2 linked regions of the Macaca mulatta genome follow. The protein of the gene in region 2 interacts with the protein of the main gene of each other region in a biochemical or structural test. Links are inferred from orthologs where the notes say so. Each region holds a gene or a part of one and is shown on either strand. Other genes may lie near its edges.

The links.
Region 1: the proteins of ATF4 (region 2) and CREBZF form a complex in vitro, tested with the Homo sapiens proteins (2 studies listed by IntAct, with this or other methods). The link is inferred for Macaca mulatta from reciprocal best matches to the Homo sapiens genes ATF4 and CREBZF.

Annotation. Positions count from the first base shown.
Region 1 is NC_133419.1:86,251,199-86,267,082, forward strand, and holds CREBZF (CREB/ATF bZIP transcription factor), read right to left. Parts: upstream 7,717-15,884; 5' UTR 7,491-7,716; coding exon 6,432-7,490; 3' UTR 4,628-6,431; downstream 1-4,627.
Region 2 is NC_133415.1:12,015,287-12,030,803, reverse strand, and holds ATF4 (cyclic AMP-dependent transcription factor ATF-4), read left to right. Parts: upstream 1-7,033; 5' UTR 7,034-7,707; coding exon 7,708-7,933; intron 7,934-8,034; coding exon 8,035-8,864; 3' UTR 8,865-8,947; downstream 8,948-15,517. Other genes in the region: mitochondrial dynamics protein MIEF1, read left to right, coding at 1-591. UniProt on the Homo sapiens protein: Transcription factor that binds the cAMP response element (CRE) (consensus: 5'-GTGACGT[AC][AG]-3') and displays two biological functions, as regulator of metabolic and redox processes under normal cellular conditions, and as master transcription factor during integrated stress response (ISR).

The sequences.
Region 1 (15,884 bases), on a different chromosome or scaffold from region 2:
CAGTATTGGACAGCGTAGATCTAAACCAACACTTTCTTATGAAGCAAGCCAATCATCACAGAAAAGTACCAAACAAAATTTTAAGTGGCATCCAAGATTATTCATGAATCTCTTAACTATTACTTCCAAATAGTGACATATGTGTTAAGTAATCTTATGCTGCTTAAAATTATATATAATAATTTAGAAAAGGCATCTTTGTGAGTGAAACTGGCCTTTAACGTCTGTTTAAAGAAAAATATAAGCAGTGCTGCCAAAGATGAAAAGCTTATGTGAAATTAACAAAATACAATCTCAATTTTTCAGAAACCAAAGATGATTTGTTCTTTCATCAGGCACATAAAATGTATTATCTACCAAACTTATATAGAAAATGATCCCAGTTATGAGGCAAAAGAATCTGTATGCACAAGAGACTGAAAGGAAGGAAGCATGCCAAAATGTTTACTGTGGATATTCTACGGCTTATAGTTATAAGGGTGATTTTTCTTTTCTTCTTGATTCCTTTCAGGATATTCCAAGTTTTCTATAAATAGTATGTTTTACTTTTACAACTAGGGAAAAAAAGAAATATATAATGTTTAAAGGGCAAAACAATACAGCTGTTTATTTTAAGATGAAAAGCTCTGACCCCAAATCATCCATTTTACCTACATTCTGTCACTTTTACTAAAAGCAGAGTTCTACTCATCACAGTGAAAAAACAATGAATTAAAAGTAATTTCTGATGTTAACCCAAGTACCCAGTTAGACTCCTTAAGAATATAGAATTGTGTAATCAACTTAGATAGTTCAAAGTCCAGTGATATAACTAAGTTCTTTGACAACTGAGCACACGTTGTTTCCTTACTTATCTTTAAACATTCCTAGTCCAATTACTCCCTAGCATAATACCATGTATAAATGGGGATGAGTTTACAATGGTTTCTGTAACCAAAAAGTATTTCTATTCTGTCCTCTGCCACATATTTTTAAATTATCTTTTCCATTAGCAGAAATGGGCAACATAAACAATAAAGCATGTTAAGTCTGTTGCTACAAATTTACCTTGCGAAAATTTTTGTTCAGAGAGCAGATATCTGCATTATTTAAGGACATTTAGTCATTTGTAGCTATTATTTAAGGACATTTAGTCATTTGTAGCTAACACCTGAAGTAAACTACCCTAAGTCAATTTTTAATATTTCAGTCTAGACACAGTAGACAAACTATTTAAATATTTTATAATTTACTGTGTGTAGTTATTTGGCTTCAAAGAAAAAAAAGAGGGCTCACATTCTATTTAAATTAAGACATTAATATATTTTATAAAGCCCAAACCATAGTACACTAAGAGCCAGAGGGGTCTAGGAAATTGATCTCAGTGGGTATACAGCAAAGACAAAATCTGGAGGCAGACGCTAAAGGAAGTTGAGATAAATAAAATTCAAATCAGTATATTAACAGAACTACACAAATGTTTACAACACAGTAACTACACTTTTCAATTAGTTCATTGTGAAAACTGAGCAAAATATTCAACAATTTTGGGTCAACAAAAAGTATGGAGTATTTTAAGACAATAAAGAGTGACTGGTGTTGAGAGTACTGAGGCTACACATAAAGGTACTGAAATTCAAATCTGAAAAATACTGTGCTGGCCAAACATAACACTACAAATTTCTAAGGGAAGAATTCCCGTTTTGGTCCCTAGATTAGATGGTAAGTAAATTAAAAAAACAGCTCAGAAAAGCAGCAAAAATATTAACATTTACTAGAGTCTCAAAACTTTGTATTGGCTGTGAGTCTGGGGGAAAAAACACTTATAAATGTCATACTACCAATTAAACTTTCAAGAGTCATCAGAGTATTTAGCTTTAAAATTTTACTAAATCAGAGAGACCTTAAACTACACATTCAGAATGCTGAACTAGGTAATCACATATTAAAAAGATAATGACTCATTATTAGTAAATTACCCAGTCTGTTCTATCAAAGTAGTAGTTAAGGTCACCAAATCATGTTGGTGCCTTTGGTTCTGGAATTATAACTAGCTGTACTGTAGGAGCATCAGCACTTAAGTTTTATGCCAGTGGGAATACTCTTGGCTGCCTGGCTTCACAGGCACTGAATACACTTAAAATTATAAGAAACTGACTGGATTTAGTAAGTTCTGAATAATACAATAACCAACTGTATATTTATTATGAAGTTAAGAGCCAATCTCCTACCCAAACCCTCTTCTATCAGCTGCACATTTCCCAAATGAGTAAGATAAAATGACTCAATCTAAACCAGGTGAAGGAATGTATTAACATAATCCAACAAAAATGAAATAAAACAATCCAGAGTTTTGAGTGTTTTTTTCACACTTGTAATAAACTGAAAAAATATTTCAATTAAGTAAAACAACGATATGCCACAAAAAGCCACTCCCATCATCCAGAATACTAAAGCCCTTATACAACACTAGATAAATTTTTATATAAAACAGTAGAAACTAGCATACCATTAATTAGAAACCTCAAAATATTCAAAAGACAGTATCAAGTACTCAAGAGAAAGCTCAAGAAGCCAAAACCTCAGAATCCATACATCCTGGTTGTTACCCTAAATTTTAATTAACTACCCACACATTTAATCATAATCAACTTTTTCAGAGATATACAAATCAATGCATCTATTTAAAAGGACTACTCTTTATCGTTAAGAACTTTACATTAACTTTTATATTCTACTCAGCAGGGTGTCTGTCTGTACTCCAAATTACCTCTCATGTTCCAGGAAATAAATACAAACTCATATGCCTTGTGATCACTGATGGCCTGCTTATGTAATTCTAGTCCACTAAATGTTAATTCCATAGAATATGCTCTTGATTATTTAAAAACTCTAATTAATTTCTTGATGAAATACTGTAATTCTCCAACGGTTACAATTTTGTAAAGATATGCAATAACTGAGTATCACTCCCATGAAAGACAAAAAAAGTGTAATTTTGTTCCAAGATTAACTTAGTCTCATGTATCTCTATTAAGTCTTTCAAGGATTCCAGAGAATCTTTTCATATCTCCATTTCTGGAAAGTGAAATCAGTATAGAAGTAATTTGGGAACTTGAAAATGGCATTCATTTTTTTCAGCAGATGCCAAATTTTTGACCGACATGGCTCTCACAATTACTTTGTTACCATCAGTCCAGTCAGTTAACAGGTTGTAGGAAAAGATTCCTTTTTGCAGACACTGCTAAGCTGTTTAAAGAGAAGAGAAAGAGATTAATTTAGTGATTATAAAATGCACAAATATTTAAAATATTTTGAACACTTTTTGTTGGATTATATCAGGTGTGACTACATTTTAACGAAAGTGGACTTTTTAAGATAAGTCTGGTCAAGGAAGTGCAGAAACAGTAAGTCAATATGATAGAAATAGGTCAAAATATGATGTGTTAGTTCAATTAATGTATGAACTCCTGCCACCATCGAAGACAAATATTAAAAAGCTACGTCTTTAGTCTAGTTCTGTATTTTACCATAGAGGCACATTTAGAAGAAAAACAAAAGGGTCACCCAAATACTAAATTGTTTTCAACCATTATAGTAAATAGAGCCAAACCTAGAAATTTCAAAAACAATCCATTTTATATGCCATAAATCTCCTTTATCCATGTGCTAATCATCCAGAACACAATTTTCTAAAAATAGTAAGACAACAGTTTCACATTAATCATAACTTTTTTAATTAACAAGTAGTGAGTCGGACACTTTAAGATATTGTTTACTACATACTGAAATAAACAGATCTGTTTAAATTCAGAAACCCAAACATTTACAGTAAAATGTGCTTACACATAAATATGACCAAATTTATTTAAAGCCCCTATTAGATAGATCCTAAATACATGCAATTACCATGTAAAAACCAGACCATGAAGTTGATGTAAAAAATGACAAAATCACTAAGTCACCAAAACTAGAAAAAAAAATGAAATGGAAACTGAGGAAAGACAGTTAATAAAACATAAGGAACCTAACAAAGCAGCTTTAAAAATAGGCCATACTAATCTTTCCATTTTCAAAAGTTCTTTATCAAGTAATTCCAAAAACTGCCATTTATAAAATGACATTCTAAAAATCTACACTTGGAATTTCAAAGCATCTCAATTCAGAAAGCTTTGACTGCTGTTTTCTCCCCAGCCCACAACTTCAAATAATGCAGGAAAAGTATTGACGTAAGGAAGAAAATATTCCAAGAGAATGTTATAGTTTTTAGAAAAATGAACTTACTGCTTTCCAGAACCTTTTAAGACCCACAGTCAGCATTAACAACAATCATTTTTCCTATTTTCATCCATTATTTTCCAATGTCATGTTAGAGATGAATAAATTCTTTGAGCCCATAACTAAAAGATCAACAAACCTGGTTTTATTATGACACCATATTTTTGTCATTGGTACTGCACAAAATTATATACAAAGAAATATATACAAAAATGTTCAAGTATTAGTTAAATTTCAATTCAAGGCTTCTGTTTCAAAAAAGCTACATTTAACATATTTCATAAAGATAGCACAAATTAGTCATTTCAAATAATCTTTCCAACTACTTTTGGTTTATATATATGTATATATATATATATAAAATTCAGTAGGCACTAAAAACCCATGCAGCTGCATTGTGAGGGGCTTGCTCCTGCCCTTAGGTATAAGCAGGTTCATCACTCCAAGTTGTGAGTTTGGCTACTACCCATCATGCTCAAGTGCAGTAGTAGATGATTTTACAAAATATGCTGTGATGCACTGGAAACCAAAGACCAATTCAGGTCTCAAATCGTATTATCTAGCAACAAAACATTTACAGTTGTGCAAGAACAAGGATTCCATTTTCATAACCAAATAACAACAAAATAAAACATGTGTAAGATAACTTACATCTTTGGACTGCTGGAAAATACTTTTTAATTATGAACATTTTAAAAATAAAAAACAGCAGAAGCCCTGATATTACCTCTTTTTCCTCATTTCTTATACTACCTTTTAAAATAAAGCAGGAAATGTGGCCAGCAGCTGGTCCCGTCTCTTCTGCCCCAACAGCTGTATCCACTTTAGCACAAAGAAAAACAAGGATGCTAAATACGTATATACTTTATCAAGCAGTGATGTTTCACAAAGAATTTCTTAATGCCTCTTACACTGAAGGACACCATAACTCAATTTATACAAATGGTTAATAGATTCAAGGGAAGAATAAATCCCACCTTTGGGAAAATAGTGCCAATCGTGTTATTTAAGTGGCCAGAAGCACTCAATTTAAAAAATTATTCTAAAATAAGACAAATACTTTTGAAATACAGAGAATAAGATTCTTTGTGAAGCCTCACTTTACACGTTTTCATTCACATTTCACAACCTTCAATATCTAATCATACATATATAAATTTAACCTAAAATTTTAATACAACAAAAATAACGATGTTCAACAATTTATTCATACTCAGTGATAGGGTAATCACTGCTGGTCCTCAAAGAAATATTAACCATTCTTATTCTCGAAGTAACTAAAACACAGAAGTCTGATATGCATGTTAATTTCCAACTTCTCTAATGGTGAGATACTAAAATCTGTTACTCCGTATAGACTGTTTCTATATCTCCTACTGAAAACTAAAAGGCATTGATATTTCAGAGGTACCTGTCACCTCCAGCAAAATAACTATCACATTTGTGCATGCCCCAAATACTTATTGTCAACCTCTGAAAAGTTGCCCTAAAATCGGAATTCCAATTTGCACCTTGTACAACTCGGAACTTCCATTCAACTTCACCTGTTTCACTGTCTCCAAACTGTATCTCTATAAGCAGGTTTCAGTGTACAGTTGGAACCGATGTCATCCAAGGCCATGTCCACACTGGGGACAGAAGAGCTAGGTACACGCAAGTCTGAATAAGGGGACACATTAATAGCTATTTCAACCAGAAGAGGCATCTTAAATACATTCTTGACCAGCACAAGTCTGTTTCCAGGGTGGACAGGGCCCAAATTAGATTTCCCTCCCACCTTCCAAAACAGGAAAAAAAAAAAACCACACACACACAGACTGAGATGTTGCCCATTAAAGTAGACTAAGCAGCAGAGCATGAGCGTTACGGGAAGAGATGGATCCTTACCAGGTTGTGAGGCGGGAACGACTGTTCTGTAACCCCTACAACGGAGCCTGGCAGGAAGGAAATCACCTAAAAAAGAAACTGTCAGAGAGATTTAATAGTCACATGTTATCATTAGGAGTTGGTTACTGTGTCACATTCATGCTTTTAGCTAAACACTTTAAGATTCAATATTACTTTTTTTCTCTCCTCTGAAATGTGTCCGGTGAAGATGTCCCACTAAGGTAAGTTTGACATGGTGTAAGGGAGTTGAAAGGGGTAAACGCGGATAAAGAGCAGATTACTTGACCCTACATTTTAAGAGAAGACGACGCCTTCCGGGCGCACGCCGAGCAGAACTCCACCGACACCTTATCCTTGTCCACATGGAGACAGACTCCTCCCGCCGAGTCGTCCTCTTCCAGCAGGTCCTGCTTCTGCTTTCCCACCGGCAGAGCGTAGTCGTGGTCACCGGCGGGCGAGTCTCTGAAGAGCGAGGTGGTCAGCCGCAGTCCCACGCCGCTCAGCCGGCTCAGCAAGCGAGCCAGTCCAGTCTCGTTGGCTAAGACTGCCCGTAGGTAGCGACTCTCCTCCTGCAGTGCCTGTACGCGTTTGCCCAGCTCCCGATTCTCGGCCCGCAGTTCCTGGTTCTCGGCTGCCAGACCCCGTACTCGACTCTCCAGCCCCATCACGTACTCCTTCTTCTTCAGCCGATTAAGGCGGGCAGCGGCCGCCGCCGCCTTCCGGGGACTCTTTGTCGCCGCCTGGTTGTTGTCGTTACCGCTGCCGCCACCGCCGCCTCCTGGAGACTTTTTCCGCCTCTTTTCGGCGCTGCCACTGTCACTGCTGCTGCTGCAGCCTCCGATACCGTTTAACAGCCTCTGCAGCAGGTCAGAGAAGCGCTGCATTTCAGCAGCCGCGGCCTCATCGTCATCCTCCCCTCTCCACAGGCCGCCGCTATCCGAGCCTCCGCCAGACGAGGAGAGAGGCCCCGGCGAGCTAAGCCCGGGGTCCAGGTGCCAGTCCGGTTGCCGGGGGTCCAGGAGATCCGCCAGTTCCAGCCCAGACAGAAAGTCCATATCCTCCGTTTCTTCTCCGGGGAGGCTGGCGATCGCTTCCTCCTCCATCTCCTCGGGCGAGGGCGCGCGCACGGCCACCCTGCCGCGGCTCCCCCTCCCGGCTTCCAACTCCCCTTCGTCGCCAAGCTGCTGCTTGCGGCCGGGAGATCCGGCCGCTGCTGTCTCCTCCCCCGCTGCCGCCCGGGTGAGGTCCGAGGGCAGCGAGCAGGTTGCAGCCGGGGCTGGGCTCTCACTGCGGGTTGGGGAGTTGCTGCCCGAGGCTGCCAGCAGCTTGGTCAGGCTATGCCTCATGAGGGCCGGCGGCGGGCCGCGGTAGGCCCTGGCCGCTAAGAGTGGGCCTCACGGGCCCCAAGGATCCCGCGCCCCAGGGTGGGTAGCCCCCGGCACTGGCCGAAACGAAATGCAGGGAAAGGTCCGAGTAGCCTCCCGCCTCAGTTGGCTAGTCGACCCCCCGCGCCAGGGCGCAGGGAGGGTCGGGAGAAAGAAGCGGTGAGGCCCACTGATGACTCGACCGCACCACCCAGACAACGGCCTGGCCGGAAGTCAGTGGTTTTCGCCCCAGCCCCGCCCACCGCGTTTCGCGCGCCACCAGGCCGTAATATCGCGAGGTTTTAGGGTGCTTTGGAGTGGGAATAATTCCAGCTTTCTAGTGACGTCATAATAACTGCAGCAAAAATAACAACAGACTCTAGATTTATCCACCCTAATTCAATAATACCGCCCAATACCCAGACTCAACAGTTCAACACACTGTTTTGCCATATTTGCTTTATCTTTACATAAATGCTTGTAAATTTTTTTTGCTGAATCATCCTAAAGTTGCAGGTAAGACACCACACCCCTGCGTACTTCAGTGTGCATCTCTAAAACTAAGGACTTTTTTTCATAATCATAATACTATTACCAAGTCTTCAGAAAATTAACAATCGTTTACTAATACTATTTAATACCTGGGCCATACTAGATGTCCTCAGCTGGATAATGGATATGCTAATTACCCTAACCTGATCACTACATTCCATATGTATGGAAACATCACTATGTACCCCATGAATGTGACAGTTATTATTTGTCAATTAAAAAAAAAAAAAAAAGGAATGTAGAATACAACGTTCCTTACAAAAATTGTCTTCGGTTGTTCATGCCATTTTTTACAAGTAGGTATTTTCACTTGAGCCAAAATCCAGTCAGTACTGACTTACTGCATTTGGGTAACGAACAAAAACTCTGACAAATAGAGCCAGAAAAGGCTATGAAGAGAGGGTACTCATACTTGTACGCCTGAAAACAAAGACTGCAAAACCACAACGTTGCACAAAAACCATCATGACCTTATACAAAACCTCTGCAAGGATGTCTGCCCAGAAGCTGCCTGTCCAACCTTGAACTGACGTCACCCTTGTTATTGACCTTTGTAGTCAAGATAATTATTTCAAAACAATGTGTAACCATCCTCATTTTTTTTCCTTTAAAACCCTTTGTCTTCCTTCGTCTTCCTGCATGCACACATAGTTTACTATGGCATGCGTTTTCCCATTGAAATGCTCTATTTTCAATGCACATCTTTTATTTTAGAGACCTTTTCTGTTTGTTATTTAGGTTCACATCCCACAAGGGATTTGAGATTTGAAGCAGTTTACAAATACAGATATTTAGGTTCATATCCCACAAGAGATCTGAGATTTGAAGCAGTTTACAAGTACATTAGAATATAGTAAAACAAAACATTTTGAATTTTTAAAAAGCAAGGCCAAAAAAAAAGATGAACTAGGAAGAGAAGGAGTTCTGAAAGGGGAAACGGTTAATATTGGAATTGGATGGATGCAATATCTTACTCAGTTGTTTGAGTTGGGCTAAAATTGTTTCCTGACAGCCCAAACAAAAAAAGAGAAATGAATTTTCCTTTGTTCATAAGTAAAGTATATATGAATTCTTTAACCACTTTTCTAGTTCTTAAATCTTAAAGAAACTTCTCTATAGGATACTGAATAATGTAGCAGATATCCTCTAGGATAGCTGCTTCTATACAGTATTTCTTAAGAGAGACAGAAAGCAAGTTCCAGGAAAGTTGAACACTGACAGGTCCTAAATATTGAGAAACGTGCTTGGTACACTGCACAGGCTTCAACAAATATTTATTGAGTGAGTGAACAAAGTCTACAGTTTTGACTGAAGGCATAACACTAAAGCTCAACTGAATGAAAACAATTATTTCAAGGTGTGAAAAAAGTATGACCTGTGGTATCTAGAAGAATAAATAAAAGGACTCCTTGTCTTGCTTAACATTCCATTAGGAAAGATTTTGCTAAAGAACAACAGCACACAGTTCAAGGTGATATATGTATACTCTGGCCTCCCTTGAGTACAGGTGTTTTGTATGGCTGGTAATCCCATTCAACTGCATTTTCCCCTTAGGCAAAATTCAATATTATTGATTGATTTATTATATTTTTTAAACTACAAAATTCTGTTTTAAATACACATGATTTGGCCAGGTGTGGTGGCTCACGCCTGTAATCCCAGCACTTTGGGAGGCCGAGGCAGGAGGATTGCCTGAGCCCAGGAGTTTGAGATCAGCCTCGGCAACATAGAGAGACACCAACCCCCCCACCACCAACCCCCACCCACCACCTTGCCTGGCTAATTTTTTGTACTTTTAGTAGAGATGGGGTTTCACCATGTTGGCAAGGCTGGTCTTGAACTCCTGGCCTCAGGTGATCTGCCCGTCTCAGGTGATCCACCTGCCTCCGCCTCCCAAAGTGCTGGGATTGTGGGCGTGAGCCACCGCAACCTCCCAAATTTGCTTTTCCTTGATTATTGGAAGGTTGAATGTTTGTCACATGACCAACTGACTTCTAACGTGAATAGGATTTTCACTTCCCTAACCCATTTATTTATCTTTGAAGTAGGGGAAAACGTTCTTCAGGGAAGATGTTTGTCTTTTTTCTTCTTGATTTATGTGAACTCTTTACATTATAAGGAAAACATCCCTTTGCCTCTTATATTTTCCAACTTTTTAAAAAAATAATTTTACGATTTACTAGGGGTGGAGTTGTAAAGTTCTTTCTTAGGCTGTAATTTTTAAATAGTCAATTTATCAAAGACCAGGCTCAGCGGCTCACACCTGTAATCCCAGCACTTTGGGAGGCCGAGGCAGGCAGAACACTTAAGGCCAGGAGTTCGAGACCAGCCTGGCCAACATGGTGAAACCTCATCTCTATTAAAAATACAAAAAATTAGAAAAAAATTTAGCCAGGTGTGGTGGCACATGCATGTAATCCCAGCTACTTGGGAGGCTGAGGCCCAAGAATCACTTGAACCTTGGAGGCGGAGGTTGCAGTAAGCCAAGATTGTGCCACTGCACTCCATCCAGCCTGGGCGACAGAGTAAGACTATGTCTTAGAAGAAAAAAAAAAAATCCACTTATCAATTCATTGAATAATCCATACTTGTCCCACTGACTTCCCAACATGTGTGCCATATATTAAATTCTTACATACACTTGGATCTATTTCTGGTCTTTATCTATTTTATTGATCAGTTCTGCAATTCCAGAAGCAAAATCACTCCACTTTTTATTGGAGTTTATATTACATTTTCATATCTCATATGGCAAGTCCCTCTTTGTCACTTTTATTTTCTCAGAATTTTCTAGCTATACTTAAGTATTTATTTCTCCACATAACTTTAGAAGACTTTCCAAGTTCAAAAAAGCTAGAATTTTTATGGAAATTGCATTAAATGTATTCATTTCTTTTATCTAGTTTTTATGCAAACTTTACCTAGTTTTTATGCAAACTTTGCATAAAATAGATTATTTCTTCCGTTCTATTTCTAAATGGTTATTGTTACTATGTAGGAGAGCTATTTATCTTTTTTGTTAAATTTTTAACTCACTAGTGCACCAAACTTTCTTGTTTTAATTTTCAGCTTATCAATTTTTAATAATTACATAACCTTATATATAACTATTTTGCTTTCTTCCTTGCAATATTTATTATTATCTTGACTGATAATATAATAGCACTTTCAGATTCATGTCTAATAATAGTGTTTATAGCAAACTTCCTTGTCTTATTCCTGACTTTAACAGAAATGCCTTTACTATCTAGCTATTGACTTGAGATTAGTATTTTTATTAGATTAAGAAACATGCTCCTATTTGTATTTTACATGGAAATTTTAACAACATGAATGGCTGTTTTATTAAATGACTTGCAGCATGTGTCAGGATTCAACTATACTCCAAATCTTTGGAGGGAAGGAGGTATAAAGCCATGTAAAAACTGTGTAAGGTTCACTAGCTTAAGATAATTGTGAGAGAAGCCTAAACTTTATAACTCTGTGTATTGGGTTTTGTATATTGGGGAGGCAGTTTGAAAAACATCTGTTCAGCTTCTCGTAGCTAAATAAAGGTTTTGCAAAACTTGACCCATCTCACGTACCTACATTATTCTGCATCTGTCTAGAATTGCAAGATCAAAGCAAGAAAATAATTTATTCAGTCATTCTACACACACACACACACACACACGGTCTACTTTGAGCTAGATCCTGTTATAAGCATTGTGGGTATAATGATGGGCAAGGTCGATAAAGTTCTCATGGAGCCGACTTTGTAATGAGAGAAGACAGAAAATAAATAGGAAAGTTTTATAAAAATGCTATACAGAGATTTTTTTAAAGGGTCACCCAATTGAAAATAAATCTATAATTATTTTAGATTGGATAGCCAATGGACAATTCTCTGAGGAAATAAAATTTCAGCTGAAACCTCAGTAGTGTGTTAAGAAATAAAGACAAAAAGGTTGGAGCAGAGTGGGTAAGAAGAGACATCATAGGACATGTGTTTGTATACACACTATTTACAACTGAATTAATTAAACGTTTTTTGTTTGTTTGTTTTGAGACAGAGTCTCACTCTGTTGCCCAGGCTAGAGTACAGTGGCATGATCTCAGCTCACTGCAACCTCTGCCTCCTGGGTTCAAGCGATTCTCCTGCCTCAGCCTTCCAAGTGGCTGGGATTACAGGTGCTTGCCACCATGCCTGGCTAATTTTTGTATTTTTTAGTAGAGACAAGGTTTCACCATGTTGGCCAGGCTGGTCTTGAACTCCTGACCTCATGATCTGCCCATCTCAGCCTCCCAAAGTGCTGGGATTACAGGTGTGAGCCACCATGCCCGGCCTAATTACATGTTTGTAAATACACAAGCATTTCATTGGAATTTGAAAGAAGAAAAATCCTGAAAGTTTCTAGCAAGCATGTAATACAAAATGAAAATTAATTTAAGACATGTAGGGCCACTGATACTTTGTTTCACATTCTTTATTTCCTCTTAACATTTTAATCCCCCCGCAATAAGATCCCAAGGTTTTTTGTTTGTTTGTTTGTTTGTTTTTTGAGACGGAGTCTCGCTCTATCACCCAGGCTAGAGTACAGTGGCGCGATCTCTGCTAACTGCAAACTCTGCCTCCCGGGTTCACGCCATTCTCCTGCCTCTGCCTACTGAGTGGCTGGGACTACAGGTACCCGCCACCACACCCAGCTAATTTTTTGTATATTTAGTAGAGACGGGGTTTCCCTGTGTTAGCCAGGATGGTCTTGACCTCCTGACCTCGTGATCCACCTGCCTCAGCCTCCCAAAGTGCTGGATTACAGGCGTGAGCCACTGCACCAGGCCTCTCAAGTTCTTTAACCATAGATTTTCCAAACATAGGAAAAGAATGTCAACTCATCCCCTGAGACATGCATACATAAATTTTTCAGCTGGAGCACCAGAATACAATGTAGCATCAATATCTAGATAGATTAGAAGAAGAGGTTGTCAGCTAAGAGTGAAGAGGAGGATAGGAGTTGATATAGATTAGATTGTGTCCCTCAAAAATGACATGTCGAAGTCCTAATCCCTAGTACCTTAGAACGTGACCTTATTTGGCAATAGGATTTTTACAGAGATAATAAAGCTAAAATTAGCTTATTAGGGTGGGTTCTAATTCAGCATGATTTTTGCCCTTATAAAAAGAAAACATTTGTACATAGAGACAAACACAAAGGGAAGACAATGGAAAGACACATAGGTAGAGGATAAGCATGTGTATTAATCCATTCTCACACTGCTGCAAAGAACTGCCCAAAACTGGGTAATTTATAAAGAAAAAGAGGTTTAATGGACTCACAGTTCCACATGGCTAAGGAGGCCTCACAATCACGGTGGAAGGCAAAGGAGAAGTAAAGACATGTGTTACATGGTGGTAGGCAAGAGAGCATATGTAGGGGAACTGCCCTTTACAAAACCATCAGATCTTGTGAGACTTATTCACTACAGTGAGAACAGCATAGAAAAAACCTGCCCCCATGATTCAATTACTTCCCACTGGGTCCCTTCCACAACATGTGGGGGTTATGGGAGCTACATTTCAAGATGACATTTGGGTGGGAACTCAGCCAAACAACATAATTCTGCTCCTGGCCCCTCCCAAATCTCATGTCCTCACATTTCAAAACCAATCATGCCATCCCAACAATCCCCCATTCAGCATTAACTCAAAAGTCCACAATCCAAAGTCTCATCGGAGGCGAGGCAAGGCAAGTCCTTTCTGCCTACAAGCCTGAAAAATCAAAAGCAAGTTAGTTACTTCCTAGATACAATGCAGGTACAGGCATTGGGTAAATACACCCATTCCAAATGACAGAACTTGGCCAAAACAAAGGGGCTACAGGCCCCATGCAAGTCCATAATCCAGCAGGGCAGTCAAATCTTAAATCTCCATAATGATCTCCTTTGACTCCATGTCTCACACCCAGGTCACACTGATGGAAGAGGTGTGTTACCATGGCCTTGAGCAGCTTCATCCCTGTGGCTTTGCAGGGTCCAGGCCCTCTCCTGGCAGCTTTCATGCATCGGCACTGACTGCAGCTTTTCCAGTGCACAGTGCAAGCTGTTGATAGAGCTACCGTTCTGGGGTCTGGAGGACCGTGGCCCTCTTCTCACAGCTCCACTAGGCAGTGCCCCAGTGTAGACTCTGTGTGGGAACTCTGACCCCACACTTCCCTTCCGCACTGCCCTAGCAGAGGTTCTCCATGGAAGCCCTGCTCCTGCAGCAAACTTATGCCTGGACAGCCAAGTGTTTCCATACATCCTCTAAAATCTAGGGGGAGGTTGCCAGACCTCAATTCTTGACTTCTATGCACCCAGAGGCTCAATATCACATGGAAGCCGCCAAGGCTTAGGGCTTGCACCCTCTGAAGCCATAGCCTGAGCCTGTACCTTGGCCTCTTTTAGCCACAGCTGGAGCAGCTGGGATGCAGGGCACCAAGAACCTAGGCTGCACACAGCATGGGGCCCTAGGCCCAGCATATGAAACCATTTTCTATTCCTAGGCCTCTGGGCCTGTCATGGGAGGGGCTGCTTCGAAGATCTCTAACATGCCCTGGAGACATTCTCTCCATTGTCTTGGTGATTAACCTGTTGCTCCTGGTTACTTATGCAAATTTCTGCAGCCAGCTTGAATTTCTCCCAAGAAAATGGGTTTTTTCTTTCCTACTGCAACATCGGGCTGCAAATTTTCCAAACTTTTATGTTCTGCTTCCTCTTGAATTCATTGCTACTTAGAAATTTCTTCTGCCAGATACCTAAATCATCTCTCTCAAGTTCAAAGTTCCACAAACCTCTAGGGCAGGGGCAAAATGCCACCAGTCTCTTTGCCAAAGCATAAGAAGAGTCACCTTTGCTCCAGTCCCCAACAAATTCGTCATCTCCATCTGAGACCACCTCAGCTTGGACTTCTTAGTGTTATCACATCAGCATTTTGATCAAAGCCATTCAACAAGTCTCTAGGAAGTTCTAAACTTTCCCACATGTTTCTGTCTTCTTCTGAGCCCTCCAAACTATTCCAATCTCTGCCTGTTACCCAGTTCCAAAGTTGCTTCCACATTTTAAAGTATCTTTACAGCAGCGCCCCACTACCCAGGACCAATTTACTGTATTAGTCCATTCTCACACTGCTATAAAGAACCGCCTGAGACTAGGTAATTTATAAAGAAAAAGAGGTTTTATGGACTCACAGCTCCACATGGCTAGGGAGGCCTCACAATCATGTGGGAAGGCCAAGGAGGAGCAAAGGCATATCTTACATAGTGCAGGCAAGAGGGCATATGCAGGGAAACTGCCCTTTATAAAACCATCAGATCTCGTGAGACTTATGCACTATCATGAGAACAGCAAGGGAAAAACTCTCCCCCATGATTCAATCACCTCCCACCAAGTCCCTTCCACAACATGTGGGGATTATGGAGCTACAATTTAAGATGACACCTGGGTGGAAACACAGCCAAACTGTAACAACCATGTGACTGGAATGATGTGTCTACAAGCCAAGGAATGCCAAGAATTGCCAGCAAACATCAGAAACTGGAAGAGGCAAGGAAAAATTCTCCCCCAAAGCCACTGGAGAAAGCAAGGCCTTGCCAACACCTTGGTTTTGGACTTCTAGCCCCCAGAACCATGAGACAATAAATTTCTGTTATTTTAAACCACCTGATTTTGGGTACTGCTTTGTCATGGCAGCCATTCAGTAAAACTGTTAAAGGAGATGAAGAGAGGCTAACCAAATATGCCAAGAATCTAGCTGAGCCTGTTGTATCATTCAGTGCTCAACTACAGGAAACAGAAACCAACTTAGCT
Region 2 (15,517 bases):
AAGGTGGTGGCTGGCTCCATCAATTGGCCAGCCATAGGGTCCCTCTTGGACTATGTGATCCGCCCGGCGCCACCCCCGGAGGCCCTCACACTGGAGGTACAGTACGAGCGTGACAAACATCTCTTCATTGACTTCCTGCCATCAGTGACCCTCGGTGACACAGTCTTGGTGGCCAAACCACACCGGCTAGCCCAGTATGACAACCTGTGGCGGCTGAGCCTGCGTCCCGCAGAGACGGCACGCCTGCGGGCTCTGGACCAGGCTGACTCGGGCTGCCGATCTCTGTGCCTCAAGATCCTCAAGGCCATATGCAAGTCCACCCCGTCTCTGGGCCACCTCACTGCCAGCCAGCTAACCAATGTCATCCTCCTCTTGGCCCAGGAGGAGGCTGACTGGTCTCCAGATATGCTGGCCGACCGTTTCCTGCAGGCCCTGAGGGGACTTATCAGCTACTTAGAGGCTGGAATCCTGCCCAGTGCTCTAAACCCCAAGGTGAACTTATTTGCAGAGCTCACCCCTGAAGAAATAGACGAATTAGGATACACTCTGTATTGCTCATTGTCCGAGCCAGAGGTGCTGCTGCAGACGTAGGGCAGGTGAAGGCCAAAGCGGGTGTTGGTGGTCAGGCCCTGGATTCTCCGTTAGATACACTTGGCTACGTAGTTGGTGCCTCACAGGGTTCCTGGTGCCTGCTGTCTTGCTGATCATCAACCTGGTCACTTCATGCTGATTAGAATGACATCTCTTCCGTCTCCTATTTTCCTACCCAACTCTTCCTATTTTTGTTACCAATCACTGTGCTCCCTGCTCCCCCTGGCTCCAGGCTAATTTTTCTGGAATGAATTGAGAAGGTGGTGTGCTGGCCTGAGCTGATGGACCACTTGTTTTGCATTTCAGCCCATGTTTGCTGCCTCTGTCTGGTCTGCCTTGCCTGTTTGCCTGTTCCTATTCAGTGTCTTTTCTATTTTTTCCCCTCTTGTTCATGCCTTCTGTTTTGCTCTTGTCCCTGGAGCATATCTGCCTAATTAAGATGTTGCCTTTTAGTTGAATGCCACTGAAGAGCTGTGATAGCATGTTTCAAAGCTGAACTCTACAGAGTGAGTGCTGGGACAGTATTTAGGGTTTCTGGGAGTGAGGCTGGTAGAAGAGCTGGCCTTGACCCCGGTTCCTGGAGTAGAGTCTGCCCTCCCCGCCATCTCCTGACCCATTCCTAAATGCTGAGAACGTCTCTCACGGAAACACTGTTAGTGATCCCCACAGGACAAGCTGGATTCTAAGTTATTTGCAGATTGAATTTCTGGGTGGCTATCAGCAGAAGTGCAGAGTAGGGAACCAGAGCTGGTTAAGGGCCTAGTGGAGGGTTTGTGTGCCCAGTGTCTGTTCCTCATCTGTGGCTGCAGGGGTCAGACAGACAAGGATGGGGGCTGCCAGGACACCACCTCCTCATGAATGCTGGTTTTTACCCCTTTTCCTTATTTTATTGCCAATCAGGACAAGGCCTTGAAGGAATGCAGCCTTAGCCATCAGTTGAGGGTGAGGGAGGTAGACAGGCGACTGAATGTCAGTTGGAAAATCTGGTCACTAGTTGGGGTTTGGTGGCCATGTTTTCTCCCCAGGCAGGCCCTGCTTTTCTAGGATGTGGCCTTAGGCAAGAACAGACCCAACAGCCAGCCCTTCATCCTCCAGTGTCTGCCATAGGAACGTGAGAGGGCTGTTTGCTGAGCGCTCGGGGTACGGCCAGAGGGCAAGTGAGCATGCACAGACCTCTTTCCCCTGTCCTGTTTCTCACCCAGCACCTGGGGAGATTGGTGCTACCAAGGAAGAGCGCACACAGATAAGGCAGAGGGGAGGAGATGGGCATTTCTTACGTTCCTCATTGTTTCCTGCTGCTGAGATTGCAGTATTTATTGCAATGTAAATGTATCCTGAAGGTGGGGAGGAATGTTTAATCCACCATGTCCATGTGTCGTCTTGGTTTGTGTTTTTCCCTGTTTGTGGCAAGACTCTGATGATAATTCTGTTTCTCATCTGCCTATTCAGTATTTTGTTTTCCTCCCGTCAAGTTGTCTTATTTTTTCGATGACTACCTCTCCATCAGTGAGGTTCTGGTGAAGCTCTCTGCAGCTGTCTCATTCCTTTCCAATGATAGTAACAGGAAATAACTCTTTAGCATTGATACCTCAGCAGCAATTTAGGGTAGAGATTCCTGCCCCTGTTTTGTCACAGATTAGGAAGTTGACAACTAGGCTTAACCTTGACTATATTTAGAGGTCTTTTTGGCTCTTTTCCCCTTAACAAGGATTTCTTATGGTGGTTTCAATTTCATTTGCATAAAAGTATTAAGAGGGAACAAAAAACGATAAAGCTGAGAATCGTGAGAGAGCTTATCTGTCTGTTGGTAAGACTCAAATGAGAGTTTAAAAAAAAAAAAAAATCTGTACGCCTGAGTACCATCCTGGATGAATCTAGAAGGTATGGGGTAGAGCCTAACAGTGAGGGTTCCAGTGTACCCATTGGGTTTCCATTACAGGGAAGGGAGAGGAGAGGATTGATAGAGTGTTGCAAAAGTGTAGATTATTCTTCATTGAGATAAAGGATTTGGTTTCCCTGCCATGAGTATTAAAAAATTCTAAGTTTTCCCAACCTCGCATCTCTGACCAAATTTCACATAAACCATTGGAAGGATGCTGGGCATAGTGACTCACGCTTGTAATCCCAGCACTGGGAGGCTAAGGCGGGTGGATCGCTTGAGGTCAGGAGTTTGAGACCAGCCTGGCCGACATGGTGAAACCCCATCTCTACCAAAAAGATAAAAATAAGCTGGGCGTGGTAGCAGGTGCCTGTAATCCCAGGTACTCGGGAGGCTGAGGCAGGAGAATCACTTAAACCTGGAGAGTGGAGGTTGCAGTGAGCTGAGATCACACCACTGCACTCCAGCCTGGGTGACAGAGTGAGACCCTGTTTCAAAAAATTTTAAAAAATAAAAATTGGAAGGAGAGCTTAAAAAAGATAAGATTTTAAGAGTTCCAAGTTATTTTAGTGTAATTGTCACTTGAGAAAGGCAAATGAGTTTATCATTCTTCTTAAAGAGCATCTCTTTTAACTGTTTGACAAAACCATAACTTTGTCATTTTACAAGCAAGAACCTCTTAAGAAGTCCTCAGAACTAGAAGCAGTGTGAACTCTCAGCCTTGGTCCTGGTGGGTTTGCTGACCATGACTGGGCAAGCCATTCTTTTTGCTGCCATCTTCCTCTTCATAAAATGTGGAACATAGGCACTCGCTTTGAGATTTTTAGATAGAAGAAGACATTCTGCACCTGCCCCCTTTTTTAAATCTTTGAGAAAAGATGAGTAATTTTCCCCGCTACTCTGCCTTCCTGTTCAGTAACTCTTACTTTTGCCTGAAGTAATAGCATCTTCTACTTCTCCATCTAGAGATTTTTGTGTGTGTGCCATCAAGGTTAGCAAACCTTATACTTCGCCTAACACTTAAAAAATGCACTCATTATCTTAAACCTAATAAATTCCAGAGTTTATTTTGGTTCTCTTCTGTTGCCCTTCCTAAAAAATGAGTTCAAGATGACAGTATTTTTCTTTACATGCTTGGTTGTGAGTTTTAAAGTTTTATTTAAATATATGTTGAAGCTCCAGTTTAAAGAAAGCATTGCAGAGGCCCACGGTCTCCTGGGTCCCGGCCGGTGGAGGCGCACCTGTCCATATTCCACATTCGCTGACAGTGCTCCCTGCACTCCACTCAAGGTGAGAGTGCAGATAGTCTTCAAGGGGAATCAGCTTCAGGATGGAAGGACCCAGGAGAGGCCCCGAGGGGGGATTCTGTAAATACAGACTACTGCGAGTGTGCAGAGCTCTGTGCCATGGTACTTCCTTGGGACTCTGACTTGGCTGACAACTTGTGCTGTCAGAGGATTTGTTAGAACTCTGCCCTTTTGTCTGAAGCTCAAGGCCAAGGAGACTTAGCATAGAGCTGACCCCTGCACCAGGCTGGGAGGCTCCAGCCCTTGTAGATGCCACTTACTATAAGTGGCCAGAATACCAGAGATGTGGGTTCCATGGTCAGCTGCACACTAAGTGTTTACCTTTACATTTGGATCACCTTGTAGTCTTTAATTATTGGTCCCTGAGGCCAAGTCCACAGCTTGCCTTCTAGTCACTTGCCTGCCCATCAGTGGTGGTGGGTGTGTTAGCTGGTAGATTTGGAATCAGTCACCACTCTTTCTGTACTGTCTTGGTTAGGTCTGTATAAGTAGAGGCAGCTTAGCCCTGAGACCCAGAGAGCTGCTATCCTTTTTCTCCTTGCGGGAGGAAATAAAACTGGGGAACACAATGTCCTTCCATAGCATAGGAAGAAGCAAATAAAAGTCTCCTTTCCACCAGTGTTGACTTGTGTGTGTTGCATGAAACATCTTCCTGTGGGAGTGGTACTGGGTCTCCATTTTCAGCTAGAGTAACCTTTGAAGTGTTTGAGCTAGGTCTCTATAAAAGAATGGATGGGACAGGCTGCCATGAGAGTCATTCTTTCATGACCTTTTCAGTGTCAAAACTGGGGCAGTGTTACTTTAATACTCAACCATTTGCACCATCATCTGTCAGGAGGTACTGTCTATAGCAAAAGGAGAACATGTCCTGTGGGTCCCTAGTTCGGCCTTTGGAAGACATGGCTAATGGCTCAGGGATTCTTACTGCCTCTGCATGGAAAGGCTAGACAACTCCTGTATTTATTATTATTAAGACAGGGTCTTGCCCTGTTGCCCAGGCTGAGTTGCAGTGTTGTGATTACAGCTCACTGCAGCTTGGAATTCCTGGGCTCAAGCAATCCTCCCACCTCTGCCTGAGTAGGTGGGACTACAGGCTGGAGCCACTGCTCCTGGCACCAATTCTGTATATCTCAACTCTCATGATTCCCCAAAGAGAAAGAAAAACCATACTTTTATTCCAGCATCCGGTATGCCTTGTGTATACCTGTATACAAGTTTTAAAGTTGTTGGTTTCATCTCATTAAATAATAGTTAAGAGTCCTCTGAGGCAGCAGGAGGATGTGGAGAGTAGCACAGGTCAGGGTCAGGTGACCTGAGTTCTATGAAGGGTAGCAGCAATAGCAACTATTATTGGGTGCTTACATGTACCAGGCGCTATGCTAAGTGCTTTACATGTATGACTTCACTTCATGGGGCAAGGATACTCATCAGTAGTCTCATTTTACAAATGAGGAAACCGAGGCTCAAAGAGGATAAGTCACTTAGCCAAAATGTCCCAGCCAGGATTCTTTTGGGTGAGCTCCCCAAAATTTGTCTTCTAACTCCTACCCTATACTCCCTCCACTGGGAGCTGTGCGACTTTGAGCAAGAAGCTTCATCCCATTGGGCCTCGGTTTACCATTGGAAAGGACTTGTGAGCGAGGTTGAATGAGCGCAGCAGATGGCCTGTGGTTATTTAGAGCAGTGCTTCCCTGGTTGTTTGGTATCACAGCGATCATAGAAATACTTGTGTGGCCCGGTGAAATGGAGGCGGAAACTCAGTTTCTACCTTCACAGGGCCTGACTGGAGGGGGCTGAGGACGATGCGGAGGTTTCCTGTATTAAAACAGACTACCCCCCCTTCCCAACGCACAACCCCGAGCACGTGGCCGTGGGTTCCCAAGCGCCTCTCCTCCCAGGGCCATGGGCATGACCACCGAAAAGCGGGTTAGGCCGGGGAGTTCAGAACCCGGAGTGAATCGAAACTACCCCAGGTAGATGGCAGCGAAGAAAATTCTGTTCTTAGGGGAACGCAATCTTCGGACACCAGAAGTTCCCCTATGATGCTATTCTGTGGCAGCCTCGCACTTGAGCCGGATGAGAATTGTAAAAACCCAGGTTGGGAGACAGGACGGCGCGTCTTCCCGGCTCCTTTCCAGAGTTTAGACGGAGCCATGCAGACTCAGCTGGCCTTTGGGTGTAGGTGGGCAGGCCCGAGGCGCCCTCTCGAGACCCCTTCAACCTCCCGGGGGCAGCAACACCGTATCGGCTATGAATGGCGTCTCTGGAAAACTCAGGCTTGGAACAGGTAACCCCCCGGTTTCCGCAGGCCAGAAATCAGCCCCCGCAACCGAAGGACGCGCAGGCTGGGAGTGGCGGCGGGGCCGCCAGTGGCGGACCTCCACTGAGGGCGGCGGGACCCGACCGCAGGGGCTGGGCCCTGAGGCCACTATGGGGTGCGCTAGGCTAAGGTCTCCTGGGGGCAGGAGCCAGTGCGATTGTAGCTGGCCAGCAGGCTGGCCGGCCTGAGGCCTGGCAGAGACCCGAGACCCCGACCCTTACCACGCGGACTCCGTGATCCCTCTCCCAGCAGCCGCCCACCTGGGGCCCTGAGCCAATAAGAGCTCGAGGTATATATGACTCACCGTGCCTGGGCCAATCAACTTGACGCGCGCTCTTCGCCAGCACCTCGCGCGATAACCTGGCTTCCTCGGCCTTCACAATAAAAACTCTCCGCCGGAAAACGACCTCTCCCCGCCCACCGCGCCGACACCGGAAGCGAGGCGTGTCTGCGAGATCACTCCGCGCTCCGGCGGCGAAGGAAAGAACGGACTCTGATCATAGAAGTCTAGTAAAGTAGTGCACCTCTCTCGTTTCGTGAGGTCATAAGAACAAACACCTTTTCTCGTCACAGCTACGCGCTGGGCATAAACGGTTGGGGCGTCAAAGGGAGGGAAACGAGCGGGCGGGAGGAGATGGTCACGTGGCCGTGGCGGAAGGATGCGTCGGTGCTGCGTCCCCTTAGAGACGAAGTCTATAAAGGGCCGGCGGGCGGCTGCTGCGGCCATTTCTACTTCGTCCGCCCACAAATGTAGTTTGGTTTGCACGTGTGCGCCTTCCCTCCTCCCCGCCCGCAGGGTCCACGGCCACCATGGCGTATTAGGGGCAGCAGTGCCTGCGGCAGCATTGGCCTTTGCAGCGGCGGCAGCAGCACCAGGCTCTGCAGCGGCACCCCCCCCAGCGGCTTAAGCCATGGCGTGAGTACCAGGGCGGGTCGTCCAGCTGTGCTCCCTGGGCCGGCGCAGGATTTGGGTTGGTGGGGTGCGGCCTGGGGCCGGGGCGGTGCCGCCAAGGAGGAAGCGATTTTACGAGCGCCCGGGACGCGTGGTCTTTGCTTGGGTGTCCCCGAGACGCTCGCGTGCCCGGGATCGGGAAGGCGCATTCTGGTGCCAGGACTGCTTCCACAGGGGCCCTGCCGCCCTCGGACCCCGAGTCCCCCAAGGGTCCCAGGGGTCTCGGCTTTCCCCCCCGCGAAACGTGGCAAGAACCAAGATGGCGGCGGCAGGGCGGCGCCGCGGGCGTGAGTCAAGGGCGGGCGGTGGGCGGGGCGCGGCCGCCCTGGCCTTATTTGGACGCGGGGACGGAGCGCCTTCCTCTTGGTGGCCGGTGGAAGAATCGCCTGGTCTCCGTGAGCGTCCATTTTGTGGAACCTGAGCCGCAGCAGGGAGGGGCGGATGCAACTGCCCCGTTGCCGACTCTATAGATGGCTGGACTAGAGAAGTCCCGCCTCGTAAGTGGAAAGATGAAATTCTCAGACCAGCTAACCTCTAATGGGAGTTGGCTTCTGATTCCCATTCAGGCTTCTCACGGCATTCAGCAGCAGCGTTGCTGTAACCGACAAAGACATCTTCGAATTAAGCACATTCCTCGATTCCAGCAAAGCACCGCAACATGACCGAAATGAGCTTCCTGAGCAGCGAGGTGTTGGTGGGGGACTTGATGTCCCCCTTCGACCAGTCGGGTTTGGGGGCTGAAGAAAGCCTAGGTCTCTTAGATGACTACCTGGAGGTGGCCAAGCACTTCAAACCTCATGGGTTCTCCAGCGACAAGGCTAAGGCGGGCTCCTCCGAATGGCTGGCTGTGGATGGGTTGGTCAGTCCCTCCAACAACGGCAAGGGTGAGTGGGCCACCACCACATCGTCTGGGTGGGATCTAGGGTTAGGGGCCTGTTATCTTTGTATCTGACTCACTTGGCCCTGTCATTCAAATCTTTTGCAGAGGATGCCTTCTCCGGGACAGATTGGATGTTGGAGAAAATGGATTTGAAGGAGTTCGACTTTGATGCCCTGTTGGGTATAGATGACCTGGAAACCATGCCAGATGACCTTTTGACCACGTTGGATGACACGTGTGATCTCTTTGCCCCCCTAGTCCAGGAGACTAACAAGGAGCCCCCACAGACGGTGAACCCAATTGGCCATCTCCCAGAAAGTTTAACAAAACCCGACCAGGTTGCCCCCTTCACCTTCTTGCAACCTCTTCCCCTTTCCCCAGGGGTCCTGTCCTCCACTCCAGATCATTCCTTTAGTTTAGAGCTGGGCAGTGAAGTGGATATCACTGAAGGAGATAGGAAGCCAGATGCCACTGCTTATGTTGCCATGATCCCTCCGTGCATAAAGGAGGAAGACACCCCCTCAGATAATGATAGTGGCATCTGTATGAGCCCGGAGTCCTATCTGGGCTCTCCTCAGCATAGCCCGTCTACCAGGGGCTCTCCAAATAGGAGCCTCCCATCTCCAGGTGTTCTCTGTGGCTCTGCCCGCCCCAAACCTTACGACCCTCCTGGAGAGAAGATGGTAGAAGCAAAAGTAAAGGGTGAGAAACTGGATAAGAAGCTGAAAAAAATGGAGCAAAACAAGACAGCAGCCACTAGGTACCGCCAGAAGAAGAGGGCGGAGCAGGAGGCCCTCACTGGCGAGTGCAAAGAGCTGGAAAAGAAGAATGAGGCTTTAAAAGAGAGGGCGGATTCCCTGGCCAAGGAGATCCAGTACCTGAAAGATTTGATAGAAGAGGTCCGCAAGGCAAGGGGGAAGAAAAGGGTCCCCTAGTTGAGGGTAGTCAGGAGCGTCAGTGTGCTTGTACATAGAGTCTCTGCTGTTGCTGTGTGTTGGAATAAATTATTTTGTAGGGAAAGTACTTGTGTGAATTCCTTTTCTGGCAAATTAGCCGAGTGAGGCGCCAACCACGCATCCCAAACTGGTTATAACATTCCTTGTGAGATCTGGGGAGGAGGGCAGTCCAGGACTGAAGATGGGTACCCAGAGTGGGAACTGCTCGCCCTGCTAGGTGTAAGCCACGATGTCTGATGACTCATGGGGCCATACAGCCGGATAGTTGGCCAACTGTAGCAAGTTGGGTCCTTTACCCAGAGGTGAGTTCGCTGGTTGTGTAGGGAGGAGGCTGGAGCTCTCTGAGAGGTTGGGAGGGAGGGACAGCCTGGGCCTCTTACCTATTTATTCAAGAGGGCTTCATGCCAACAGCTGTCGCCTGAAACCCTGGATAAGCTTGCACAGTCCTTGAGATAAGCACACAAGATTAGTTTTCACTTGTTACCCTGAGTTCTGTAGAAACGTGTTCCTGAAGAAAGAAATGGCTCCTTTTCGGAATTGATGCTGAAGCAGGACAGGAGCTGAGGGTTGGCCTCCGTTTCTCCTTATGGGGTGGAAGGATGACATCCTGCACAGGTTCTGGCTAGAGCTGGGCACAAAGGCTACAGTTCCTGTGAAGGCTGTTGTGCCTGTTGCTACCTAAATAGAAGGCCTGGCATCATGCTAGGATGGATCAGCGCCTAGAAACCACGCCTCCTCACCGCAGCTTCTTCCTGGCAAGCTGGCGGGGAGACCTCGCCTTTCCAGGCAGGCGATGTCTTTTGTGTTGCGGATGAGTGCTTGATTTTGTGTTGCGGATGAGTGCTTGAATGCAAGGATCAGCGTATCCTGGGTAGGTCTGTCTTTCCTCTTGTGTCCTTCAGGATCACAGTTTTCCTTCTGTGGAAGGTGGTGTAGACTGGGTGTGCCCGGGGAATGGCTGGGAGGACAGTGAGGGTGAGTGCGCCCAGGCACTGCTGTAACTGAGCACAGTACGTGTGTTCACCCCGTCCCCGAAGCACACCCAGGAGGCAGACGCCACACTCAGGAGGATTTTTTTTTTTTTTTTTTTTTTTTTTTTTTTTGAGACAGGGTCTCTCCCTGTTGACCAGGCTGGAATGCAATGGTGCAATCTCGGCTCACCACAACCTCCACCTCCTGGATTCAAACGATTCTCATGCCTCAGCCTCCCGAGTAGCTGGGATTACAGGTGCTCGCCACCATGCCCAGCTAATTTTTGTATTTTTAGTAGAGACGGGGTTTCACCATGTTGGCCAGGCTAGTCTCGAACTCCTGACTTCCTGATCCACCCACCTTGGCCTCCCCAAAGTGCTAGGATTACAAGCATGAGCCACCGCGCCTGGCCTTTTTTTTTTTTTTTTTTTTTTTTTTCTTTTTAGAGATTGAGCCTATTCCCCAGGCTGGAGTGCAGTGGTGCAATCTTGGCTCACTGCAACCCCTGCCTCCCAGTTTCAAGCGATTCTCCTGCCTCAGCCTCCCGAGTAGCTGGCATTACAGACGACTGCCACCATGCCCAGCTAATTTTTGTATTTTTAGTGGGGATGGGGTTTGTCATGTTGGCCAGGCTGGTCTCGAACTCCTGACCTCAGGTGATCCGCCCGTCTCGGCCTCTTAAAGTGCTGGGATTACAGGTGTGAGCCACCACGCCCAGCTCACCCAGGAGGATTTTGAGCAAAGAGGTAGAGCTGGAATTTGAAGCCAGGACTCGGGCTCCAGTCTGGGCTCTTCATTTTGCCTCTTGAGCTGGAAACAAATGGCCCGTCATGACCTTTCCGGTGCCCAGTATAGACGGTCACCTGAGAGCCAACTGTTGACGGAATGTATGCAACTGCTTGTGGAGAAGTTGCCCGAGGCACCGCTGGAAGTGGGCATCACACATGGGTCTTGGACCTGGTGCTCTTCGAGGTCTTTCCTGCTGAGATTCTAGAATTCTCCAAAGGCCATGGGCCTCCATCCACATCCAGGTACTAAATAGGCGTTAGGGTGCGGCCAACAGCATCAGAGTCATCTAGTGCCAGTGGGGGTCGGCCCTCATTTGGCAGATGAGAAACTGAGGCACCAAGAAGGGCAGTGCAGGCTGGTGGTGTGGACCCAGGATGCTGGGGCTGTGCCCTCTCCAGGCCCTTGCAGCTAAGGCCTCCCACACCCAGAAGGCACCAGCTCAGGTCACAGTGGCTTTGCCCTTCTCCTTGACCTCACCTCCTCCCCTCACTGTGCTCTTGGCCTTTCTCCATCTGTCTGCCAAGCTTGGTCCTGCCTCAGAGCCTCACACTTGCTGTTTTTTTGGTAACTTTTTTCTCCATTGAGTTTATCTGTATACAGATTCACTTTCTGTTCTCCATTCCCTAACTATAAGGTCACTCTGTGGCAGCAGGTGTTTTGCTATCTTATTCATTCCGGTACTTCCAGGACTAGAGCAGTGCCTGGGAAATAGCAAAAATGACTGCGGCGAAAACGTTCAAAGAGCTCTGATGCTCTAGGCGCCTTCCAGTGATGAGCTCAGAGTCCTCCTGAGGCTGTGAGGAGGGTCTTATGACTGCACCCTTCTTACTGATGCAGCTGAGACCCAGACTTAGGCACCTCCTTGGGAAGTCTGGCCTGGGGGTGGACACTGGCCCACGGGCAGTTGGTATAGGCAGTGATAATGGCCTGGACAAACCAGCTGGATTTGGCTAGGCAGATGTCTGTTCCGGAGAGCCCAGCGCAATAAGGGGTATGGGAGGAAGGGGCGGAGATGAGGCTGATGTCCAGCCACCACCCTGCATGTGGCAACTTATGGCCCCTGCCAGGCCTTGGCCAGCCCAGCCTAGGTGACCAGGTCAGAGGTGGAGCTGGGCTTTACCCAGTGACCAGGGGCTGGGGGCTGGGGGATAGGAAGGGACCTCACAGGCGAGAGCGGACAACTCTCAGCATTTTCTCCTGCTTTGTGTCTAGGACAAGGCTGTAGGTTGTGGAGAGCAGAGAACGACCTTCTTCTTTTATACAACTAGTCCTGAGTGGGTGCCCGCTCTGCACTACACTGGGTGCTGGCTTCAGCAGTGAGCCAAGTAAACATCCCTGCCCTCATGGAAGTTTGCTTCTGGTAAAGGAGACAGATGGACCCTAAAAAGAAAAAGATGTGACATGTGTCACATTCAGATGTAACACAGCAGCTGGGTCAGGCATGGACATGCTGGGCATGCTCCTTAAGATGGGTGCTCAGGGAGTCACAGGGCTCAGCCCGGCAGGGGACTGGGCTGGGATCAGCAAGGAGAGGCAGCCAAGATGTGGGTGTGAAGAGAGGGGATCCCCCCAAGCAAGAGAAAGGATGGAGGGCCCGTTTCCTGAGATCGGGAAAACCAGGGGAAGAGTATGATTTTATTTCAAAGAGGCCAGGTAGAAATAAAAAGTTCCTGGCTTTGGGAGGCCGAGGCGGGTGGATCACGAGGTCAGGAGTTCAAGACCAGCCTGGCCAATATGGTGAAACCCCATCTCTACTAAAAAATTAGCAGGGTGAGGCTGGGCGTGGGGGCTCATGCCTGTAATCCCAGCACTTTGAGAGGCTGAAGCGGGCGGATCAGGAGGTCAGGAGATCGAGACCATCCTGGCTAACACGGTGAAACCCCATCTCTACTAAAAATACCAAAAGTTAGCCGGGCACCTGTAGTCCTAGCTACTTGGGAGGCTGAGGCAGAAGAATGGCATGAACCCGGGAGGCGGAGGATGCAGTGAGCCGAGATCGCGCCACTGCACTCCAGCCTGGGTGGCAGAGCAAGACTCCGTCTCAAAAAAATATAAAATAAAAAATAAAAATTAGCTGGGCGTGGCGGCACATGCCTATAATCCCAGCTACTTGGGAAGCTGAGGCAGGAGAATGGCTTGAACCGGGGAGGCGGAGGTTGCAGTGAGCAGTGCCAGTGCACGCCAGCGTGGGTGACAAAGTGAGGCTCCATCTCAAAAAAAAAAAAGTCCCCTCAGTGACACCCAAGTGCCAACCACCCTTGCCTAGGTGGCCCATGGGGTGGGGTGGGGGCTCTCAGCCTAGTTGGGGGACTGAAGGTGGACACTTAGACCAAGTAGAAAGTGGCAGCTTCAGGAGACAGAGCAGGGCCTCCCAGCTGGGCTTTGAAGGGTGGGGAGAGTTGTGGACAGAGAATGGGAACAACACCCCGTGAAAGTCAGCCAGGCAGGAAAGAACGGGGCACACACCAAGTGCCACAGTCCCACTGCCTGTGGCAGAGGCCTTTGCCCAGGCTAAACTCTGAGCCTGCAGCTGGGCCCCAGCAGAGTCCCATGTTGCAGTCCTGGCCCACTCCTGCCTGGCCCCCTTGGCCAACTCCTCTAGTAGCAAAGAGGGTCAGAGTGTGGGGGCTTCAGCAGCCCATCCCACTGTGGAAGACACAGGAAGCCATGGCTGGGGCCCTTCTGTGGGGCATGGGGTAGGTTCCTCAAACTCTGCTTCCCCAAACCACCTGTGACGCAAATGCTTCCGGTGCTTTCACACCCATCCATGCTGTCTAGACTGGGGAAGGCCTCCTGCTTTGTCCTGTCAGCCCTAGGTTGAAGTGACAACTCAGTTTCCTCTTTTTTTGAGACAGGGTCTTGCTCTGTCGCCCAGGCTGAGGTGTAGTAACGCCATCTTGGCTCACTGCAGCCTCCGCCTCTCGGGCTCCAGTAATCCTCCCACCCCAGCCCTCTTCCCCGCAAGCAGCTGGGACCACGAATGCATACCACCATGCCCGGCTAATTATTGTATTTTTTTGTAGAGATGGGTTTTGCCATGTTGGCCAGGCTGGTTTTGAACTCCTGACCTCAGGTGATCCACCTGCCTCAGCCTTCACAAGTGCTGGGATTACATGTGTGAGCCACCGCATCTGGCCTCAGTGTCCTCTTATTTGGGTCCTGTTGGTCACCAGGTCCTGGCCATCACGGTCAGCACCTCCTTGGCCCCCCATGGGGACAACCCTCTCTCCTCCAGTGCTGCCCCAGCCACCCCAGCTCCCTGCTGCCTTCCAGACACCTGCACCAGAACTGCTCAGGGGGACAGTTAAAAGGCAGACTCCTCAGTCCTGTCCTTGACCCACTGGACCAGAGTGCCAGCGGTAAACACAAATGACTGTCACCCAGAGGGGGCATGGACAGGCACCCAATAGTACTACTTGGCATAAGTGTAAGATTTATTGGGAAGCTCACAAGCGGGGAAGCAGCAGGACCCCGGCTCCCATCCTCAGCGGGGGGCAGTGCCTGTCACGCTGCACTTCTGGGCGATTCTGTAACAGTGGGCGTGTCCTTGATAGAAAGGGGCCCCGGGCCTATGGTCAGCCTGTTCTTCCAGGCGCTAGAGGCTGAACTGGCTTCTTGTTAAGCTGCTTAAAAGATTAAGGGCACGAGTCTCCATGGATATCCGAGTTTCTCTGCCCAGTGGGGTCATTACAGTCCAGCAGGCAGGAAGAGGCCCTGGTCTCCAAGGTTTGGGGTCACAGCACACTCCCTCCCCCTCCCCCTGCTGATGGAGGTCACCCGGAGACAGGACCACTGCCGGGAAGATGTGTGGCCACATCATGTCTTTATTTAGGATGGAATACCAGTTAAAGATCAGGAACAGACCACCCACGGCAGTGGGGGAGCAAATGCTCTTACAAATAATGGGCCCCGAGGCAGTGTCATCAGGGAACCCAGGGAGCCAGATCGTCACTCCTAATCAGACCCAGCCTCAGGGGACTATGCCATGCTCTCTACCAGCAGCAATGGGAGTCACCACACCAAAGGAGCCCTTAGGCTGGGGTGGGGAGGGAAGAGTTCAGGAGACAAACGGAGCTGCCAGAAAGCTCCCAGGTCCCTTCCCCTGAGGCTCCCTGATGAATGGACTCCTGCGCTGACTTCTCCCCTCTCCTCCACTGGCCCCACCTCTGGTCTTCACTCACAGGCATTCAGTACCTGCCTGTCCTTCACCTCCTGATCCCAACCCATGCCTGCTGGAAGGGTCCCGTCTGCCTCCCCTCACCTCCATTCTTCAGCTCAGGCACACGCCTGAGTGTGAAACCCTTTCTTCAGGTTACCTCCTGAGTCCCTTCTACTGTCCCCTCCCCACTACGACAGGCATTTGACCCCACCTGGCTGCACACCAGAGCCTGAGCGGGAAAGGGAACACACCTGGTGAAACGCTCCGCTCATGGCGGACTCGACGCTCCCTGGGCGTGGGCTGAAGCAGCACCACTCCCACTGCCGGACCTAGCCACCTGCACCAGAACTCCTCCCAGCAGCTATTTTTTGCCTCGAGTCACCTTTTCAGCTGTGGCGGCCACCCCCAGAGGAAGGAGGCTCCCCTGGTGTAGGGCAGCAGAGGTTGGTGTTCTGATGGCGGCCTGCCAGGGCTGGACTGGAGGACTTGTGACCCGGAGCTGAGAAGCACGCTGGGAGATGGGGGAAGGCAGGGTGGCGCTTTGGTGCCACAGGAGATGGGAGACACCCCGTGGGGCAGATCAGCAGCACACACAGCTCTTGGGTTCGCATTTATTACAACTTGGAAGCCCACCCTTCTTCCTACTCCAGGAGGTGTCGTCCCCGAGGGCTCAGGAACCACAGCAAACAGTCCAGAGGCCCCACCTGGGCGA